Drosophila melanogaster: one gene and its partner. The protein of the gene in region 1 purifies or fractionates together with the protein of each later gene. This does not show direct contact. Each region holds a gene or a part of one and is shown on either strand. Other genes may lie near its edges.

What was found.
Region 2: the proteins of CycK (region 1) and Cdk12 purify together in Drosophila melanogaster (affinity purification with mass spectrometry; 2 studies listed by BioGRID). This does not show direct contact.

Annotation. Positions count from the first base shown.
Region 1 is NT_033779.5:22,121,182-22,131,849, forward strand, and holds CycK (cyclin K), read right to left. Parts: upstream 8,962-10,668; 5' UTR 8,543-8,961; coding exon 7,340-8,542; 3' UTR 3,759-7,339; coding exon of another isoform or gene 3,601-3,758; 3' UTR 3,104-3,600; downstream 1-3,103. Other genes in the region: CG3651 (uncharacterized protein), read left to right, coding at 691-999, 1,070-2,500, 2,560-2,847, 2,909-3,035, 3,601-3,758.
Region 2 is NT_037436.4:21,514,698-21,524,626, forward strand, and holds Cdk12 (Cyclin-dependent kinase 12), read left to right. Parts: upstream 1-1,608; 5' UTR 1,609-1,957; intron 1,958-2,489; exon of another isoform or gene 2,490-2,552; 5' UTR 2,553-2,884; coding exon 2,885-3,093; intron 3,094-3,148; coding exon 3,149-4,002; intron 4,003-4,060; coding exon 4,061-4,220; intron 4,221-4,413; coding exon 4,414-5,641; intron 5,642-5,704; coding exon 5,705-6,093; intron 6,094-6,384; coding exon 6,385-6,858; intron 6,859-6,924; coding exon 6,925-7,084; 3' UTR 7,085-7,459; downstream 7,460-9,929. Other genes in the region: Sak kinase, read right to left, coding at 42-810, 864-959, 1,019-1,054. UniProt on the Drosophila melanogaster protein: Cyclin-dependent kinase which displays CTD kinase activity: hyperphosphorylates the C-terminal heptapeptide repeat domain (CTD) of the largest RNA polymerase II subunit, thereby acting as a key regulator of transcription elongation.

The DNA of each region.
Region 1 (10,668 bases):
GGATACAATCGATTATTCGTTTTGCTCATTTCTATCGATACTAAACCTAACTAAAATACGATAGGAAGCCTAACTTAAATGATCAAAAAATTATTTTACCATATCTTTGCCATTTCATTCAATATATTGAAAGGGTATCTGATATATGTGGAAATTCTTTTGTATTAGCTGTTAAATACGCCTATTGTCAGAGGAGTCCAGAAAAGCAATAAATTGAAAGAGATCAAAACTGGTGAATACTATTTGTCGTAAATTTAGCTCACCTGGTATATATATCATATATAATTATTTATTTATTTATTTATTATGATAGGTAGAATAGTTTACAATACTAGACTAACTTAAATAGTAAGCATAAGCTACAGCTATATTGATCTACAATGCTATTATATCTTTATCTACTTTATATCTAATTTGCTAAATATATCATATATATGCCTTTTTATCCTCTTCCGTTGCAGCGAAAACTTATTATACAAGAATAAAGAATCCGCATAATCTTTTTACTGAAACAATTAGCTTTAAATTAGTTGCCTTGCATTTTATCATTGAAATTGTTAACGTTCACGCATCAATTGGGCTGTGTGAATAGGTCGCATAATTGTTTTGGCATTAATTATTTTAAGAGGCTGTCGACGGTTTTTTTTTACCGTTATGCCATCTGGTAACACTGCCCAGGCCGCAAATGGAATGGATTTTCGAGAGCTAGATAAATTAAACTGGCGTTTGCATCTGAGTAACAATAACAATATCGTTAATTATAGTGCGAACCGACACCTCGGTCCTGATGCGGCTGAAGAGCGACGCCCGGAGCTCTTAGTCAGCCAAGTCAATTGTGGGACCGGTGTAAATACAATGGGCACAAATCAAAAACGAGCAGCAACAACATCAGCGCAGGCCGTAGCGGTGGACGAGCAGGTCGTGGGAGCCGTGGGTGGTGGCGGGGCAAAGGCAGAGGAGTGCCCTGCAGCGACCATGGCCGCAGAGGATGGTGATAAGGCAAGTGACTGCCGCTTTAAGCACAAAAAATTATGTTGATTATGTTATGTTCTGTTTATCCTTTAAAAAGGTGGAAAGTCCTTCTTACTGCGAACTGGATCTGGACGTGGCAAGCTACGGGCTAGCAGCAGCTGCCCTCTCATCCTTTGAAGCCGCCGCCTGTGGCTATAATTCCAGCCGAACTTCCATAAACAACTCAACCGAAAACCTGAGCTATGCCAGTGACAATATTTACGGCGACGATATAATTTTGCTGGACGACAACGACATGAACGCGGAGGAGATATCTATCAACTCCGACGACTGCGTCTACGCTTACCGTGGTGAAGGGGCTGATTTTGACATGAACATGGATATCATCGCCACGGGAAGGGTTGGCGGGCAACACTTCGACCTTGGCCGAGGACCAGTGAATGCTATGGGAGGCGATAGCCTCATTTACGGCGAAGATGAGACGGAGTTTCTTGAAATGGACTTTGAGCCAGACCCCTCATCAGAGTTGGAGCTTGTTGGCGGAACCACCGATATGACCATCCAGCCTCAGGCCAATTTGTTGTTAATGCAACGCGACTATAGCCAAATGAACAGCATAGGCGGAACTACTTCTACGCAGGAAGGAAAGCTGCACAGCTCGCCCATAGATGATTTTCCGCAGGAGGACCTAATGCAGCAGCAAAAGCTACGCCTTAGTAAGAAGTTCGCGCGCATCAGCTTGAATTTAGATAAAATCAAAGACGTTGGTGCTGGTGGAAGTGGCGTGGACATAGATTTAAATGAGCTAATAGTTATTGGCTCGGAAAAGCAGGCTGAATCCTCCGGAAGCTTTCGGTCAGTGAAGTCTTATCAGGCTCATTCCTTGCCCAACACATTGCACACAGGCTCAAATTTTTCGCGCAGCACTAGTGTCCCCAGCGAACACCCAGAGCCTAAGCTGACTGGTGCTAAGCCAAAGCGTTTTTTGCACACCTCGTCTGTGATGACTAAAAGCTCCTCATATAAGTCGCGGCGCTCTCATACATCAGCTAGCTTTGATGAACGTTGCTACAGCTGCACTGATTTCCGGGCAACAACATGTCAGCAGCAACAGTCAGGGTCGAAGTCAAAGCAAGATCAAGTGCCTCCTATACTGGTGGCTCCTGCGACTGTTGGGGCTTTGACCACGTCTTCTTCGTGCACGGGCCAATTTGACTTGGGAATAACCGAGGAGAACTGCTTAGACTGCCTAGAAAAGGAGTTCTTGGCCAATACCATAGGCAAAGTCGTAGACCCGGGAACATGTCCTAAGTGTCGTAGATCAGCTGGCAGTCGGGGCAGTAGTATTTCGCTTTACTCACGGTCGGACCAGGTTCGCTGTCGAAGCGGGTCCCCAGTATACTGCTATGGAGGTCCGTTCGCCGGCTGGCACAGCTTAATAGCAACCGGAATTGTTTCTGGTTCCAATTTGGGTCCACCCTGCAACCAAAGGTTTATTTCGTGTGATAATAGTTTCAACGGTCTACAGGTATGTAAACGCATGCTATAATAATTGTGTATAATGAATTTACCCGCTCTCGCGAATAGCTCCTCAATCAAGGCTATCTGACTGAGCCACTGGTGGCAAGTCTGTCTACAGGAAAGACGTGCGACGAGGAGCACCTAGTGCAAGCGCTAGATAAACTGCGCGTACCCTATGACAGGGAGCTACTTCATGGCTATTTCAAGCAATTGGCCAAGCGGCGACGGACGGAAAGTAGTGTCAATCTCAAGCAGCTATTAATACAGGCCTCAAAGCAGCAGGGAAACCATCGCAAGCTCAAACGGTTGATCGAGATGGCGACCCACCAACAGCTTATTGTACAATTTAAGGGGGTAAAATCAAATACATATTGTACACACTTTTTTAAACTAATGCAACACATTTTTCAAACAGAAAGCTGCAGACAAAACTGAATGGGTGCCTATAAATGTAAGGGACATACTTAATGCCTGGGCACGTTGTCGAGATCTTTCCCTCCTTCAGCAACTAGATGACCGCTTTCATTGCGCAAACGTGATGGGTAAGATGTTCTATAGAGTTGTTTTTTCATAGTTTGTATATAAAAGTTTTACTCGGTATTGATATATTACATATTTACATATTCAGTAAGAAAAATGTTTTCTAATCATAAAATAGAACGCTATAGTCGGCTTCGCCGATTTTAAGATACCCGTTACTCAGCTAGTAGAAATGCGATCGCGAAATTTCATAATTTTTCTGGAATATCGATAGATATACAAATATATATATATGGATTAGTAAGTATTGTTACCCCTGACACAGAGACACTAAACAAGTTCTTTTCTTTAATTGTAAACTAATGAAATTTTGCCAATATACGCAAGAGGGAAGCAATTTGACCTTAATTAGGCTAGTCCGTGAGACTACATAATTGCTACCCTAAGAACTTTAGGGAAGTCAATTAATGACGAGAGAATCTTATAGTCGATTTATTCAAATTTCAGATTTCCGTTACTTAGCCAGTGGGCGTAACAATTTTTGTAAGGTTAACGCAGAATACAAGTCATTTCAAATTGTATTAAATTGTTATTTTTTTTTACAAAATAACATTCTATTTTTTTCAGGAAAGGTTGGTCACATCGTGCGTCAGGCAACAGTAGCAGCATCCACACAAGCACAGGCATCGTCGTCAACCTCCTTTTGTAAACGCACCCTGCCCGAATATTTAATGATCCCGCAGTATTACATGAGTGGGGTACTGACTCTAACCCGCAAATGTTAGGACGTATTTGCACAACCACTCATTTATTTTCACATTAAGCCGGATACACATCATCTCTCTAGAAGTGCTTAGCCCAGTTTTATTGTTTAATTTTTTTTAATAAGTCATCTTCCATATTAAATCAGGTGATCGCATGGCCGTGACCCACCGCTTAAGTCGGGTTCAAAAGTCTCTCCGCTCTAAAAAAAAAAGAAAATAAAGAAACTCAAAGTTTAGTTGGTGTTTAAAGCTCAAAAATGTTTTCTATGTAGGCCATAATATACAGGTATCAATACAAATATATGTATCTGCCTCGCCTATCAACGCCTTATATTGTAATGTGCATATTTGTTTACGGAATACGTAATACATATGTATGTATGTACATATGTACATATACATATGTAATTATACCCGTTACTTGTAGAGTAGAAAGGTATACTAGAGTCGTTGAAACATATGTAACAGGTACATAGTTTTCCGGTCATATAAGGGAAATATATAGCATTCTCTCTTGTTTTGTTATTCGAATTTTGCATTAGATTGTTTTGCTAGCGAGTGAGCGCCATGCGTTAGAAATAATTGTGACACAGAAGCCTATTTAAAACAAACATGGCCAGCAAGGGTAACATAAGGTCACAGTTTTTTAATTGTTTGACAGCAAGAATTTTTAACGACTGCAATCCAAGTGCTTAAACTTTTCTCATAAGGCTGGCTGTGTTCTGCACGTCGTTCAAGGGCCGTGACGCAACATAATTGCTACTGCAGATTTTTGGATAATATAAATAAAAATAATATAATAAAAAACATTTTCTAACTCAACTCATCTCAGTTGATCATCATCTTCCTGAATTCTTCTTTCGTCTTCGTTGTTACCCGCCTTTCGTTTTTAATCTTACTTTAGCGTTATATATATATACATGTCTGAAAACAAAACAGTATGAGATACACACCACACATATATTGGAAAAAATATTTCTCGGATTGGTGGGCCAGCTCAAAGACAGGAAAAAGGCTCTACATTCGAATTAAGACAATCAGAATTTTATTATACTCTATGCTTTTTATAAGAAAGGGATCTTGCAAGCGGTTTATAACTACATTGAATTAGCTGATAAGTTTCTACTAAGAGTTCCCTGCGTATAGAACGACATATTTCTTGCTGGTCCAAATTTTTGTGTTGCTTTAAAACTCACAAGTTAGTTTCTAGCACGTATGAATGTCACTGTTACTTTACAACGAATCTAGTATACTCTCTCTATACGAGTCACGCGTATAGTTAGTAAGCCGGCTACTAAAAAACAAATCAAGAATTTCTGCTGTTTTAAATTTAAAATTCAATCTTCTTTAATTACTTATTTAACACTTCAACGGCCAGGAGAATGTTATTTTTCAGGTAAAAGTGTTAGTCCAACACGGACTATCGTTTTTCAGGTCGTGAACGACTTACTGGCATAAACATGTTCTGTCCAGTTGGCTATATAGCATTACCACTTACCCAAAATTTGTTGTCTTACACAATTCTGTTGGCATAAGCATATTATGTGAATCTTAACTCTTACTCTTAAGTACTGTTAGATTTACTCAATAAAATTAGTTGGAGTATTGACAAGTACGATCTTAATTTATTCCCTTCGACAGAGGTGGTCCTATATCATAACGACTTGAAGACTTGAACTGTACAGAACTGTATGCCAGGCATACTAGTAGAGCACAAACAAATGCAAACTTTTAATCCAGTCAGAACTGGCTTTTGTCTTTCACAAGGTCGACAAACGTGTAGATCCCTTGACAAAAACTCAGCTTCATTGGAAGTACCATAGCATTCTGGCGAAAAACATCAACGGAAGACCTTTCCTGCAACATATATGGCAATAAGTGGGTAGTGATCAGAACACAATGTAAATTTTAGTCTAATAGATTATGCCCTAGCTTTAAACCTTAATATATAATATAAAACTTTCCTTTTCCTATTGCACTATTTATTTAGATGTGTTATTTAGCCCTTGATAAAACGGCAATAAGTAATACTCTAAAGCTTATTCATATTCTTCATATTGATATTTATATAATATTTTATTATTTCTGAGAAATTATTTCTGCATTGAAAAATTTATGTATAACCGCAAAAATATTTTGTTAATTTTTTCGTGTTTTACCACTATATTTGCAATTGTTATAAAAATGAAGTATCCGAATACCTGGTCTAAATATAGCCAACTTACGGTAAAGCAACACTAGAATAATACCAAACTAAAATTATTTTGTTTAGTTAATTTATAAATTACTAAAATTATCATAGTGTCTTTGGTGAAATAGAGGTCCTTGGACCTAGAGCGCGGGAGAACTAAAAGTCAGCTAGATCTTTTAGCGAAAAGATCGAGACGTTTGTAACGAAGCAAGTCAACGAACTGAGACAAAGTAGTTGATGTTTCGAAAGCAGAGCGCGGTAAGTATCACATCAAAGAGCCTGGTTTCAGAGAAATCGACTTTATAAAATTTGAAAGATAAAAGGAAATTAATTATTTTTAACACCATTTAAAAATTAAATTAAATTGAAGAACATCGAACAAAGTCAATAATATTATTTTCGAACATTTTCGTCTTTAGCCTGGAAAACGAAACCGTTGGCCTACGACATAATTATATTTATAATAAACATACGAATCGAGGTAGCCTGGGCAGTCGTTATTATTCCAAGTGTACCATGGGCAAGAATAAAGTCCATGGAAACTGCAAAACTGCACTGTTGTTTCTGATAGCCGAGCAATCTTCGCACACTATGTATCATTCCAAAAATTATTCAAACATCTAAAGAGTTATTATACCCATTAATCGTAGAGTAAAAGGTGCAAGATTCGTTGTAAGTATGTATGTAACAGGCAGAAGGAAGCGTTTCCGACCATATAAAGTATATATATTCTTGATCAGGATCAATAGTCGAGTCGATCTGGCCATATCTGACTTTCCGACTGTCCGTCTGTCCGTATGAACGTCGAGATCTCATGAACTATAAAAGCTAGATGGTTGAGATTAAGCATACAGTTTGCGGAGACACATAGCGCCACACTATTTAAAAATTTTTAGATTTTTCTTCGTTTTATTGTTTGACTTGCCAATTTTTATCTGCATACCAAAAACACTGGCCACGCCCCTCCTTTTACATACAAAACCCCCAAAACTGCCACGCCCACACTTTTGAAAAATTGTTCTCACATATTTCTCATGTTTATCTTCCACTGTTATAAACTTCGCCGTTACTCCAATTCCGCTTTGTCTCAACGTTTCGCCAATTTTAATAAGAATCTATTTTTGTTAGTGCCCCAATGTCCAAAATATTTTTTTCTAGTTCATTTGGTTTTATTCAGTTTTGGAAACATCATTTCAGCAAAATTCTGCTAACAAGTACATGTGAAAGGGTAAGGACTTAAAATAAGGGAATAAAAATCATTGATAAATACCCCGGGACAATATTGGGCCTAGAGTGTAACCAAAAAAGAAAACCGAACCGTACGAAGATCCCCGCTCTAAATCCTATTCCGAACGGTTCGCTAGTTTTAATATACAAATTTTTTTTACTTGTTTATTAGTCATTGCATCTACTAGTAGCGCTGCTGCGATGGACGCCCACCGGCGTTGTAGTATCCACTGGCTCCTGGAGGCAAGCTAGGCGGCATTGGTGGTGGTGGTGCAGCGCTCCCGCTATAGTGTCCGACCACTGTCTGCTGGACTCCCCATCCGGAAGAGGGGTACGGCGGCATAGGCACTACCGGCGGGGGCGGCGGTGGAGGAGCATGATAAATGTGGTACCCGGATGGCTGACCTGGTGGTGTTGGGCCCTGTAACAGGTTCTGGGAGTCGCTAGGACCAATGATTGGCACGCCACTGGCTAGGGATTTAATGCTCTGAATGTTGCTAACTTCCAGCACGCCACCGTTGCCACATACGGGGGGCGGCGGCTGTTGTGGAACGGAAAGTGGTCCAATACCCGTAGAATTGGTAAGCTTGCCGGATTTTGGACTGTCGGCTCTGCTTGGTGGCTTTTGGGGCGGACTGGTTGGCTGGAGCGCTTCTTTTTGGGTTGATTGGTACAGGTCCAGAACTTGGTGGCAGATGTCTTCGAGTATTTCCATCGTTACATCAGACACAAACATATCCCACCAACGCTGCTGCTGTGGCTGGCGGCCCTCCCAGTCTTGCACAGTGAATTTGCTTAGCTTGCTGGCCAAATGGATAAGAGCCACGGCGATAATCTCCGGCTCCCACTGTAGACAAACTACTGTGCTGAGAGAGTCGTTGACGAAGTTCCACGCCATTTGCACCATCTTTTGCAGCTTCTGCTGGTCGCCTTTGAAACACTTAGCGTACTTTAGGAGAAAGGTGTAAGGATGCTCTACTTGCAAATCGAATTTGATGGTCTGCAGCAGAATACGCTCTAGCGTCATCACCTCCTCCTTAGGGTCGTCGCCAAACGAGTAGAAGTAATTGTCGGTAAGGATGCCACGCGCAGTTTTAATAATGTCGCGACACTTCTTTGGCGTCTCCTCCACCTTGCCAGCAAAGAACAGGCAGCAGCACGCAGTCACGTACCGGGGGAAACTCCGGAACGAATGAAACATGTAAAATCGGTGAAAATATACAACGCCGGTGGCCATCGTGTTGTGGCCCAAGCCCATTTTGGTGCCACATTCCATAATAAATCGAGCACCTTCTTTTCTGTACCGCCGCTCCGTTTCGAAGCTTATTCCATCCAAGATCGAGGGCGTCTCCCGCAGCTCCTTTTTGTCGTAATACCAGCACGGCATCGCGGCAATTTAGGCTGCGGGTACTACCAGTAGTCCGCGTCGTTGGAAGGAATTTGTGTTAAACCTTTAGCCAAATGGTTGTCAGCATATGCGCGTCCTGGAGCCGATAAGCGCTTTTGTTTATTGTAAATAAATCAGTTTTCGATTTTTATGTTCACTTGCAGTGTTACCATGTCTACGACGATGAAGAAAAAAACTTTATTGGAAGCCCCTTTTACACCAAGACCACGACGATTTTGAGTATATGGAACAACTTTATTGGTAAATAGATAACGCAAAAATTTTCGATCTCTTGCGGGTCAAACTGAATATTTTTTGTGCGTTTGCTAGTTTTGGTGACTTAATTTTGGGATATAATTAAACAGATATATTTACACGTGGTTTTGGCCGTCCTTTGACTGTTACGAGGAACAAATGGGATGTTTACACTGGAATCGCATTTCCATGTTTTGGAGATATCAAACCAAGCATAGGGATTAGTGATGGGAATTGCGCAATTTGTTTTGTTGTTAAATGGTATATTGAAATAATTCATTATGTATAATCCTACTGGATAACAAGTATTTCAATTTAAAGCATAGATAGCATTCGTTAAACATTATAAAATGTAATAACAAGATTATGAGCAGTGTAAGCGCTTTCTATTTAATAGTAATTACTTCTAGTAATGTGGTGATGAATTTATTATAACCGTTAGTCGTATTTTCGTATTCCGACCATTTAAGGTATATATATTCTTGATCAGGACCAATATCCTAGTCGATCTGACTATAATTTAATTAGTCTTTTTAATTTCTATCGATTTGTCAATAAAATTTTTGCCACGCGCACTCTAACGCCCTAATGCCACACTTTGGAACAATTTTGAAATTTTTTATCATTTTATATCCCATTATCTATCGATATTCCATAAAATTGATGCAATTTCGCGTTTGTATTCACACTAGCTGGTAACGGTTATTTGATAGCCTTGGAACTCGACTATAGTATTCTTTCTTTTATTATTAATATAAACGCGAGTGATGGCACTATAATTTTATTATGTTTCTATATTTTTTATGTTTCTATAATGTGTGTTAAATTCTTAAAAATCGATATATATCACTCAAATTACATAATAATGGAAAACCGAAACGTGAGCTTGATAGAGCGAAACAACCAAATCAGTCGAGATGCTTCTTTTTAACGTAGAAAATGTTATGTATATTTTTCTTTGAATCATGCACTTAGGCTAGTGAACATATTTTCAAACCTTACCGCTCAAGTGATCATTGACTTAAATAAAATTTTACAAAACTCAAAGAACATCCAGCAGCACGCAGACACGTATCAGGGGAAACTCAAGAATGAATGAAACACGTAAAATCGGTGAAAATATACAACGCCGGTGGGGATCGTATTGTTTTAATAATATTATATTTTTTAATGAAGTACAGATAATATGGAATTGACTTTGATTGAATTTAAAAATGTATATTAAAATTTATCAGTGATAACAAACATTTTATATTTCTTTCACCAAGTGATTCAGTATATGTATACAATTCTAGTATTTTAACTTCTATTTAACGAGCACTTAGGGAATGTGAATTTCCGTCATTCGACTGCGCCAATTGCATGCTAAGTATTTGGTTGCGGTTAACAACCAAGGCCGGAGTACCCCCAACGTTGAAAACTATCTACGTCTCACAAGACAAGCAATTACGATCTCGAACTTCAAAAAGGTAAACAAACCCAAATGTTGTGCAAATTCTAACGTTTGATCACCCCTGATCGCAGATTCCGTCTATGCGGATTGTGTTGTTATCCTGGGAAAGCTACAAATACCGCGTATAAATTTGCTATATTCGTAATTGGGTTCGAAGCTAAGCGATGCCCAGCCTACCAGTTCGGCGTACACGGAAGGATTCCCAATTGGAGAACGATGACGATCTTGGTCGTATTGCCCAAATTTATCCCACCTATGCTACACTCAGGTAGATATTTTTGGATCAGCCGCAAATTTCCTGGCTTGGCTATGTCAAATGACTTAATCGACATTTGATTTCACGGTTTTATTTATACGGACATACATACATGTATTTCATATTTTAAAATATACATATTTGCCTTATTTAAAAAATAAT
Region 2 (9,929 bases), on another chromosome or scaffold:
TTCTACTAGCAAATGTACATTGTAAATTCCTGAATAATTACTGCTAGCAAATGTTATGATTCCACTATCGCCACTTTCCATACTCTGGCTGAACACATTCAACGCTCCCGGCGCAGAGTGTCCACCATTTGAGCATTTCAACATAAAGGGATGGCAGAGAACAGCCTCCAGGGTAATTCGTTCGTGCGGGAGCTTTTTTAATAATTTGTTTATCAGGTCCTGCGCCTCGTAAGACAAGTGAGCCGGCATAATGTACTCGGACATCACAACTTTGTTAAGGGTTGACTGCACTGCATCGGTTTCGAAGGGCGGGCGTCCAACCAGCAGGGTGTACAGCATGCATCCAACGCTCCAGACGTCCGCGGGCAGTCCGTGAGACGTTCGCGATACCACCTCAGGCGAAATATAGTTCGGAGTTCCACACATGGTCATATGGCGCTCATCAGGTCGCTTTAATTGGGTGGCCAGTCCAAAATCGGCTATCTTGACGTGCATTTCCCTGCTAAGCAGTAGGTTGGACAGCGAAATGTCGCGGTGCATGATGTTGTGGGAGTGCAGGTACAAAAGTCCCGCCACCACCTGCTTCAGAATGGAAGCAGCTTCCGTCTCTGTGAAGGGTCTGGCGATGTGGTTCATATAGCGATGAAGCTCCCCATTATGGGCCAGCTCGAGCACCAAATACACATAGTTGGCGTCCTGAAAGAAAGTGTACAGCTGAAGCACAGAGGGATGCTTCAGGCGGGAGTGGATTTCCACTTCCTGGCGAACGCGGTTAGTGAGTCCAGTGCCCTGGATTAGTTTTTTATCGATCTGAAAGCCAGTTTGTGAGTAATACCTTTAACCAACACTATAGCAGTACTTACCATCTTTATGGCCACATCCTGGTGAGTGTGCAGGCACCGCGCCTTGTAGACGGTCGCAAAACCACCTTTACCCAGCAAGTGCTGTACTTCATAGTCCTGCAAAGACAAACAGCGCTTAAAAACTCCGTCCGACTGCCGCCTTCCAGCACACCCACCTCAATTGTTTCTCCAAACGCCCGATTGGATAACATAGCTAGCCTTTTTTCTGTAGACTTACTGAGCCACTTGGAATGTCTTGTTGTTATTTATCAAAAAACTAAAGCCATATAAACAAACAAGCCGAACAAAATTTAAACGCCACCGTTAGTGTTGGGAAATTTTAATGCCACATTAGTGAAGATCATTAGCCAGCACTAATGAGGGCTGCACTATCACCAATATATTTGCGAATTTGTTACTCCAATACAATTTATTTCTTGTTTAAAGAATATTTCACAAAATTATGATATTAATCATTAAAAATTATTTTTATATACGAGTTGATAAGTAAAAGTCAAACTATCAATAATGGCTTCAAAAACAATCATTGCCAGCACTCCCCAGTGTTGCCAGAGCTAATAAAGTATATTTATGAGATATTTATATAAAAAATATTGTTCTCTTTATTTGAACTAAATAGGTGATACATTTGAAAAAAAAAACTTGCTTAGGGCTCAATATTCCACCAACAGCATACTTAAATGCACTCTTCGATCATAGCGTGTTCCCACTGCACTAGCAGTTAATGCAGCCCTGGTGATTAATCGCCGAGAATATTGCCATCCGTTGCAAATGCAGAGAATCATGGCAAAATTATTCTTATGGTTTTACTACCGAAACAATGCCTAATGAGATATGTAACTTGCATTTGAACAAATTCTCTTATATTTAAACCGATCCCACAATAAGCTGAGCCCATTTTCGCGTAATGAATATAATTCGAAATCATAAACAACGTCGGAATATGAGACTCGATAGCCGTGTTATTTAATAATTAAAGGAGTTCAGCGAGTGCGTGCGCCGAGAGTCGTAATAAAGAACAACGTAAGCCGCCAATTTTGCCGGCAATAAAGTTATTAAGAAGTGGTGTTTACATAATTTACTCCCAAAAATTGGTAAGTCCGCAGCAAAGAAAATAAAGTGACCCACATACTTACATTGATACTTATGAATGCATGTATGTATATGAGTAGGTGTTTGCCTTATACATGAAGGCACGCAGACAACCTTGGACTCTCACACACGTCAATGACAAGCAACAGTGCAAAAGTAGTGCTGGAAAGTGTCCTCGAAAATCCTTAATGTCTATTTTAAAATCTATTTTCCTAAGTATCTGAAATTTCGTTTTATAATTGCAATTATCCATCAGCTTCTACGCCACTTCCTGGAACTTTCGCTATCCCCCTTGTTATATTCTTCAGGGTAGTTCATACATGAGCAAGTAATTTAGTGCCAGCAATTAAAAAAGTTCAGATCATGTTTAATCATTTTTCAAAGGGCAATATTCTTTTAGTTTTAAAGAACAAACCAAAATAAAAAAAAGTTTGTTATTTTCCGCAAACACCTACAGTGTGACCAGCGTCTTTGGTCGGTTAAATGACAGTAACACGCGTTCTTCCGCCTTTTGCCCCATACCATTTTCGGTCACACTTGCCACTTCATTATAACCTTAAAATGACAAGTTATAAATTTTTTTTATGTTAATTTTAGTGGAAACCGAACACTAGATTGACTTTTAAAAGCTGTGCCGCAGTGTGCCGAACTTTTTCGATAGTCTGGGCATCTTCGGCGTCTTAAACTGGCACATATGCAAGATAATCATGTAAAGAAATCGTCACACGAATATGTGCTTGTGCTGGTTGGCAGCGATGTAAATAAAATTTAAGCTGCTCCCGAGTAAAATCTTGCCGCAAAGTAAAAAAACTTAAACGCCGAAGTGCCACTTGTAGCAAAAGTTCGCGGACAGCGAAGTCTCAGCACGAACCGTAGAGAACTGAGCGTGGGTCTGCGAGTTCTCCAAGTCCAACCGCCAAGACGCTAAGATGCATGCATCCTCCGCGGCGGCCACTGCACTTGTGGAGTACTCGGACGTCAGCTCAGAGGACTTCTCGGATCAGGAGGCAGGGGACTTGGATGCGGACGCCGGCAAGGGTGCCGGAAACATCAAAAAACCGAAGCCAGCTCCGGATAATCAGTTCTCCAAAGGTCGTCTTGATGCCAAGCCCGATAAAGAGGGTTATGATAACTACAGGTAAGAGAAGGAAAATTGATGTATAAGCGACGGTAACTACAGCCCCTCCATGCAGAAGTAGAAGGGCGGAAGACTCAAGCGACCCAGTGGCGGCCGGATCGAGGCAAACGTCTAGCAGCGAGGCCACGAATCCGCGGGAGGAACCTTCGCAGGCATCCAACACCTCGAAGGACGAGCTGTGGGGCAGAGAGATATACATGTCCAGCGATTCTATCGACACCGATGAGCTGGAGGCGGAAATGAAGCGGCAGAAGCGCAAAAAGCAGAAAAAGGAAAAACACAAACACAAGTCGAAGAAAAAGTCCAAGAAGCGCAAGAAGAAGCGGGCCAAGTCATACTCCAGCATCGATTCGATGTCAGACAATGACATCAATGCCTTACTGGACCGGCGCTATACTCCGCCGACGGCTCCTAGCAAGAGCAACGAACGGACGGTTAGCGCTGCGCCGTCCTCCTTCACCCCACACAACCTCAAGGAGAGCAGTTCGCCAGCCACTCCACCGCCAGTGCGTCGCCCGAATACGAACAGCAACTACTACGGCGAGTCGTCCCTGGAGACGGCCAACTCTGCACTGGGAAGCAACCTGCAGGTCACAGTTACGAATAAGCAGTCGATCAGCAACCGGCTTCGTTCTCCTCCTCCGTCCTCCCGCTCCAGCGGCAACGGGCCGAGGTTTGGAAACTCCCCGCGAACTCCACCGCCCTCTCACTACAGCTCCAGTGGCGGAGGAGGGGTTGGCAGTGGGTCAGTGGTCCGCGATTCACGCAGCTCCCGCTATGTAAATAGTCCCCACAAAGAGGATGTAAGTGCGCATCACCGCTCTAGCCACGATCACGGATATCAGGGACGTTACTCTGGTGCTGGGTCGAGCAGTCACGATACCAGGAAGGTGAAACGACTGTCGCCGGGTAAGTTTGATTTTAATTAAGGCAAATGTGGTTTACTTACTTTGGAAAACTGTGGCAGAGCTGGACCGCTACAACCATCAGCCAAGCACGCCACCCCACAAGCGTCGGAAGTTTAGCGATGGCAGGGAAGTGGGCCTCGGAAACTTTGAGCACAGTAGACACCACTCTGGAAAGTACGAACGATACAGCAGAGATCGATATTCTAGGCGGTCATCAAGGTAACGTTTTTCCTATATTTTATGTGAATAGCTCTAATTACCTACTGACTTCGCTTATTATTAAATACTTTAATTATTTTTGAAGTGTACATATGTGAGTAGTGCAATGGTAATTAGAACTAATTATTTAACTGAAATTGTATTTCGTTATTATTCATATATCTAACAATACAATTTTCCAAACTATATCAAGGAGCCCCAGTGTGCAGCACTCACGAAGTCGGCAATCTCCCAGCGGCGGCCTGTCAAGTGGTTCGAACGCGTTTCGCCATGGTGGCAGTCACAAACACAAGTATGGGACCACTGTTAGCTCGACGCCGTCGCATACGACGAGGACCTCAAAACGCGCTTCGGGAACTGGTACCTCTGGCGATCGCTACTCGAGGTCGCCCAGAACAAGTTCGCGGTACATGGAGTCATCACCGCCATCGCCAGTCGGAGCTTCCGGTTCGCATCACTATCATCATCGCCGTTCGCCAAGGATGCGCCAGAGGACCAGAGGCGACAGTCGTCGCCGGTCGCCCAGTTCGGCCAGCAGCGAAAGTTCTGCCTCTCGCAGCCGATCACCAACGTCAAGAGATCTAAAGCACAAGCGCGAAGAGTACATTAAGAAGATCAGTGAGACTAGCCTATTTGCCGAGCTGGTAAAGGATCGTCACAAAAGGCAGAAGGCGCTGAAGGAAATCATTGAGCGGCAAGAGGAGAACAGCAATAGCAACAGCAACGGTGCACTGACTATTAACGACAACAGTTCCTCCGTGGATGGCAATACACCCAACGCGGCTGATGGCCGATCTGCCCCTGGAAGTGGAACACCAGCAGCGGCGTCAACAACTTCCAATGGGCTTCAAGCTTTGGGTAGCAAGCCGGATCTGGACCTCAACAACATTCCCATGCCAAACAAGCAGAACGATTCTGTGGTTTCGAATCCGGCTTCAAACGCCGATGTTCCGGACAGTGTCGCGCAGTTGAAGCAACCTTTGCTGGTGCCACCGTTCTCGGCTAGTAAGAACAACATAAAACCGAAGAGCCTGACTTCTTTGCCGCTGCCGCCGGGTATGAATGTGCTCGACTTGGCCGGTGCAAGGTCTCCCTCTCCGGGGCAAAAGAAGGAATCGGACGAAAAGAACGTTACTTCAAGCGGCAGCGCCAACAAGAGCGTGCTCAATCTTCCTATGCCGCCAGTAATTCCCGGCAGCGAAGAGCTTAGTGGCGATGATGATGTTATCGACAGTCCTGAAGACTTTGATGCACCCGCGGTTGGCACTGTGCACGGTCACGGTGGTGGGCCAGGGACAACTCGTCAGCGCCCAGTGATACTCAACCGTCGTGACTCGCGAAACAACGTACGCGACTGGGGCGAGCGCTGTGTGGATGTTTTTGAGATGATTGCGCAAATAGGGGAAGGAACTTACGGACAGGTAAAAATGGGATGCTTGGTGGATCTTTTGATTAAATCTGATTTTCTGTCATTTGCTTTGCAGGTTTACAAGGCGCGGGATCATCATACCAATGACATGGTAGCACTGAAGAAGGTTCGGCTGGAGCACGAGAAGGAGGGCTTTCCCATTACAGCTGTTCGTGAAATCAAAATTCTGAGACAACTTAACCATCGCAATATAGTCAACCTGCATGAAATTGTGACGGACAAGCAGGATGCTGTGGAGTTCCGTAAAGACAAGGGATCCTTCTACTTGGTGTTTGAGTACATGGATCACGACTTGATGGGTCTGCTGGAGTCTGGCATGGTCGACTTCAACGAGGAAAACAACGCAAGCATTATGAAGCAGCTCTTGGACGGCCTCAACTACTGCCACAAAAAGAATTTTCTGCATCGAGACATCAAGTGCTCGAACATTTTAATGAACAACAGGTGGGAAGATAATCATTTGGGTGGCTTATGTTGGTGGGTGGCTTAAGTGCACGAGCAGTTCCGCGCATTGCTATCGATATTACCCTTACAAACATACAAAGGCAATATTCATAACCAGCCGTCATTCTCTAATCAATATTATATTATTCTCTGATTGAGTCCAAAAAGGGATTCATTCTTAAACGCTTTGGTGTTAAATAATCCTTAAAGTTTACACCAATTTCTCAAGCATATATTTTCTAAATTTAGTTTTCTTATAATATTTATTGACAATATTGAATTACTTTGCAGGGGTAAAGTAAAACTAGCTGACTTTGGGCTGGCACGACTATACAATGCGGACGATCGGGAACGCCCCTACACGAACAAAGTAATTACCTTGTGGTATCGTCCTCCTGAGCTTTTGCTGGGTGAGGAGCGTTACGGCCCGTCGATAGACGTGTGGTCCTGCGGGTGCATCCTCGGCGAACTCTTTGTGAAGCGGCCCCTGTTCCAGGCTAATGCGGAAATGGCGCAGCTTGAAACGATATCAAAGATCTGTGGATCCCCGGTTCCTGCCGTGTGGCCGAATGTAATTAAGCTGCCTCTGTTCCACACTCTCAAACAAAAGAAGACGCACCGCCGCCGTCTACGAGAAGACTTTGAATTCATGCCAGCCCCTGCACTTGATCTGCTGGACAAAATGCTTGATTTAGATCCGGACAAGCGCATCACAGCAGAAGACGCGCTCCGGTCACCGTGGCTAAGGAAAATCAACCCCGACGAGTGAGTACACATGGTCTTAAACCCTGTGTACATCTCAAGCATGGAAATAACTTTATATTTTTGCAGAATGCCAACGCCACAATTGCCCACATGGCAGGACTGCCATGAGCTTTGGAGTAAGAAGCGCCGTCGGCAGATGCGGGAGCAACAGGAGTCGCTTCCTCCTACGGTGATAGCCTCGACCAAATACCAACAGCATGGAGCAACCATGGTGGGGGATGCTTAGCATTTGCTGTTTGCTTCGCTACTTAATGTGAAGGAGAGCTACATACAGCGTGAAGGCGAGGAGTGTTCCTGGTGGCACTAGTAACTAGCCGTAACTAGCAATAACGTAACCAATAAGGGATTCTGTTATCCCTGGACAGGGCCAGAATAGGTTGACTTAGACTTGCTCTAGCTCTGTCGAGTTAAAGACAGCTTCAATAAAGTCTTGGCTACATTTATAAAATGCTTTATATGTTGGGAAAATTGAATCAATCGCTGTATAAACGAGATGTTATATATTCGCAAAGATAAATATTTTAAAAATGATTTTATACATATTTTACTATTCAATTTAATTGCTATTAGTTTTTTTATTTTTGAATAAACTGGCAATCTGAAGACAACGTGCATGATCGAGAATAAAAACTTCGCGTAACGAAATTGTAAACTGTTAACACAGTACGTATTCGCAACAGCAAAGGCGATTTGTAAGTGACCATGTTTCAAAGCTACGAAATAAGCATATATAACGAGCAGTTAAAGATTAGCATTTTAATTATAAAGAACTTGTTAAATAATAATAGACTACAGATAGTGTATTGACTAGTTTAGTTTATTGTTAAGTATGTAAGAAAGGTGTAAATTATAAATGAATTTATCAAGTAAATATGTACTATGTATTTACCCAAGCACAGGCATTTGATAAGTTTATATTTTAATATGATGTTAGAACGCACACAGCATCAGATTTACTTTGCATGATGTGCGTGAGACTGAAATCAATTCACTTTAAATTGTGTAAATAGGTTGAACATTTCTAACATTACACACGATCAAACAAAATTACAATCTCCAAATGCAAATCAAATTGACTAAATTCATTATTGGTACATAAAATCCTACCCAAATAAAAGTTAAACATACGAAGTGTACTTTAAATTAATTGATAGCTGATTCGAATATTTTTCTCTTAATGTGAAATAGATTAAATAGATTTTGAAAGGTGTAAACGGTTTTCATTTAAGAAATCAATTACCAAGTGGGAAATTGGTCCTAAAGTTATCCATTTTTTCTGTGCCAGGTTTTTAAGACTAAGATATGATCAATCACTTTACAGGAAAAAAATTTTTTTTTTAATAGAAATAGTTTTTGTCACAAATGTATTCAACATATTATTAAACAAAAAGTTTCAAAAGAAGGGCCACCAAAATTTATGTAAAATTTTCTATAGCTGTGCCGTTAATTACTTAAAATTTAATTATATTTCAAAAATAATAAAAAATCATGTGGTATAGTTAAGTTGAGTTAGAAAAAGTGTTCATTTAAATTTGAAAAGCATATTAGCGATACGGCCACTCAAAGTAAGAAATCTGGTATTTTTATCGTTCGTGAACAAACGAAGTGATTCGGTATTTTCGAAAGGTCCCACTAAGTGCAGCATATATATAAATGCGTTTCATCATCAGATTTGTATGTATATTGTGTCAGTTCGCCTTTGTTTTTTAATTGCTAGTCCGTCAATTAAGAAATGCTTTTACGGTGTGTGTCCAACTAATCGGGATAACCTTTCCTCGGGACGAGCCCACTGGAAGGGCTGTTTGGGAGCATAAACAATGGAAAGGGTTGCATCTGTGGGAGCGTGTATGTTTGTATACGTATACCCACACCATTGTTACGATGCACCTGGAAGGCCAAAAGAGAAATGCAGTGGAAAGTGTATTGTTGCAGTGTGTTAGCGATCCTGGCCAGCTGAGTGGCTGCGCGGATTAGACACAGTGCTATCCGGTTCTACACAGATACTGGCGATCCAGGGTTTGGCCTGGTGTCTAGACATTTTGAAAAGAAAGTGAGGAAAACAGTGTGTGCGTGTATGTAAATAGATGTATTTTCCCATTCCTTTGTACCGAAAACAAAGCAAAGTTGATTAATACGAGCTAAGACAGTCGGGGGCGAAAGTATTGGCCAAAACAGATTCCTTAAATTTCTCTCTTCTCAAGTGCTCCAAAATAAGCTTATCGTCAAACTTTAGCTGCTATCTGTTATGACGTAGTAAAATTTGTAAGATTTTAAAATAAGGTTATTCATTGTTGATGTCAAACTTTTACGATTCCTGATAATTTTTTGCATATGTCCAGCTATTTTAGGAGACTAATATTTCTTGCAGTACTGAATTTAATTAAGGGATAGTTACAATTGCGTTCTATTCCACAACAGACCCCATTGTTTGAAGTCTATGATATGGGGGTGCACTTTTGCTGGTGGTGTGGGTGAACCAGTTTTCTCCCATGGAGCATTAAAAATTATAGAGGTAATTTTACAGTCCAAAAAAGAAATCGCATGAGTATGAGTAAGAAAACTCCATAACCTTTAAATGCGACACAATCAAAACAAAAGTGTTGTCGAAATTTCAATACAAGTCAAGACTAGTTGAATCATACTAAATGTGTTAAACAGTATAAAACTTTAGCTTTGAGATAATATAATTTAACTTTTCTAATTTCCCTCGGTTTCCCAAGTATATGAATGAAGCCATGCCAACATTTTAGTCAACGACTGTGCGGCCATCAGCTAGGGATGTACATACGCAAGTAAAATGCATGTACATTGCACTTACACATGTATATACATACAAATGTAATGTGTAGGAAAAAAAAGAGCCGAATGAAAATACCCTTGATTTTGATATTGATTGATTTTGACTATTGACGAGATTAGCAGACTCGATAAGTGGCTCTCTCATTTTTGGGTAGTAATATTTGTAAGGAAGCTTTTAAACAAGATACACCACAAACTGCACTTTCCATAGCAGCGGGTTAAAGGTCGAACCACGAAACAAAGTTACATATAAAGCCCCAAATGAGGCATTA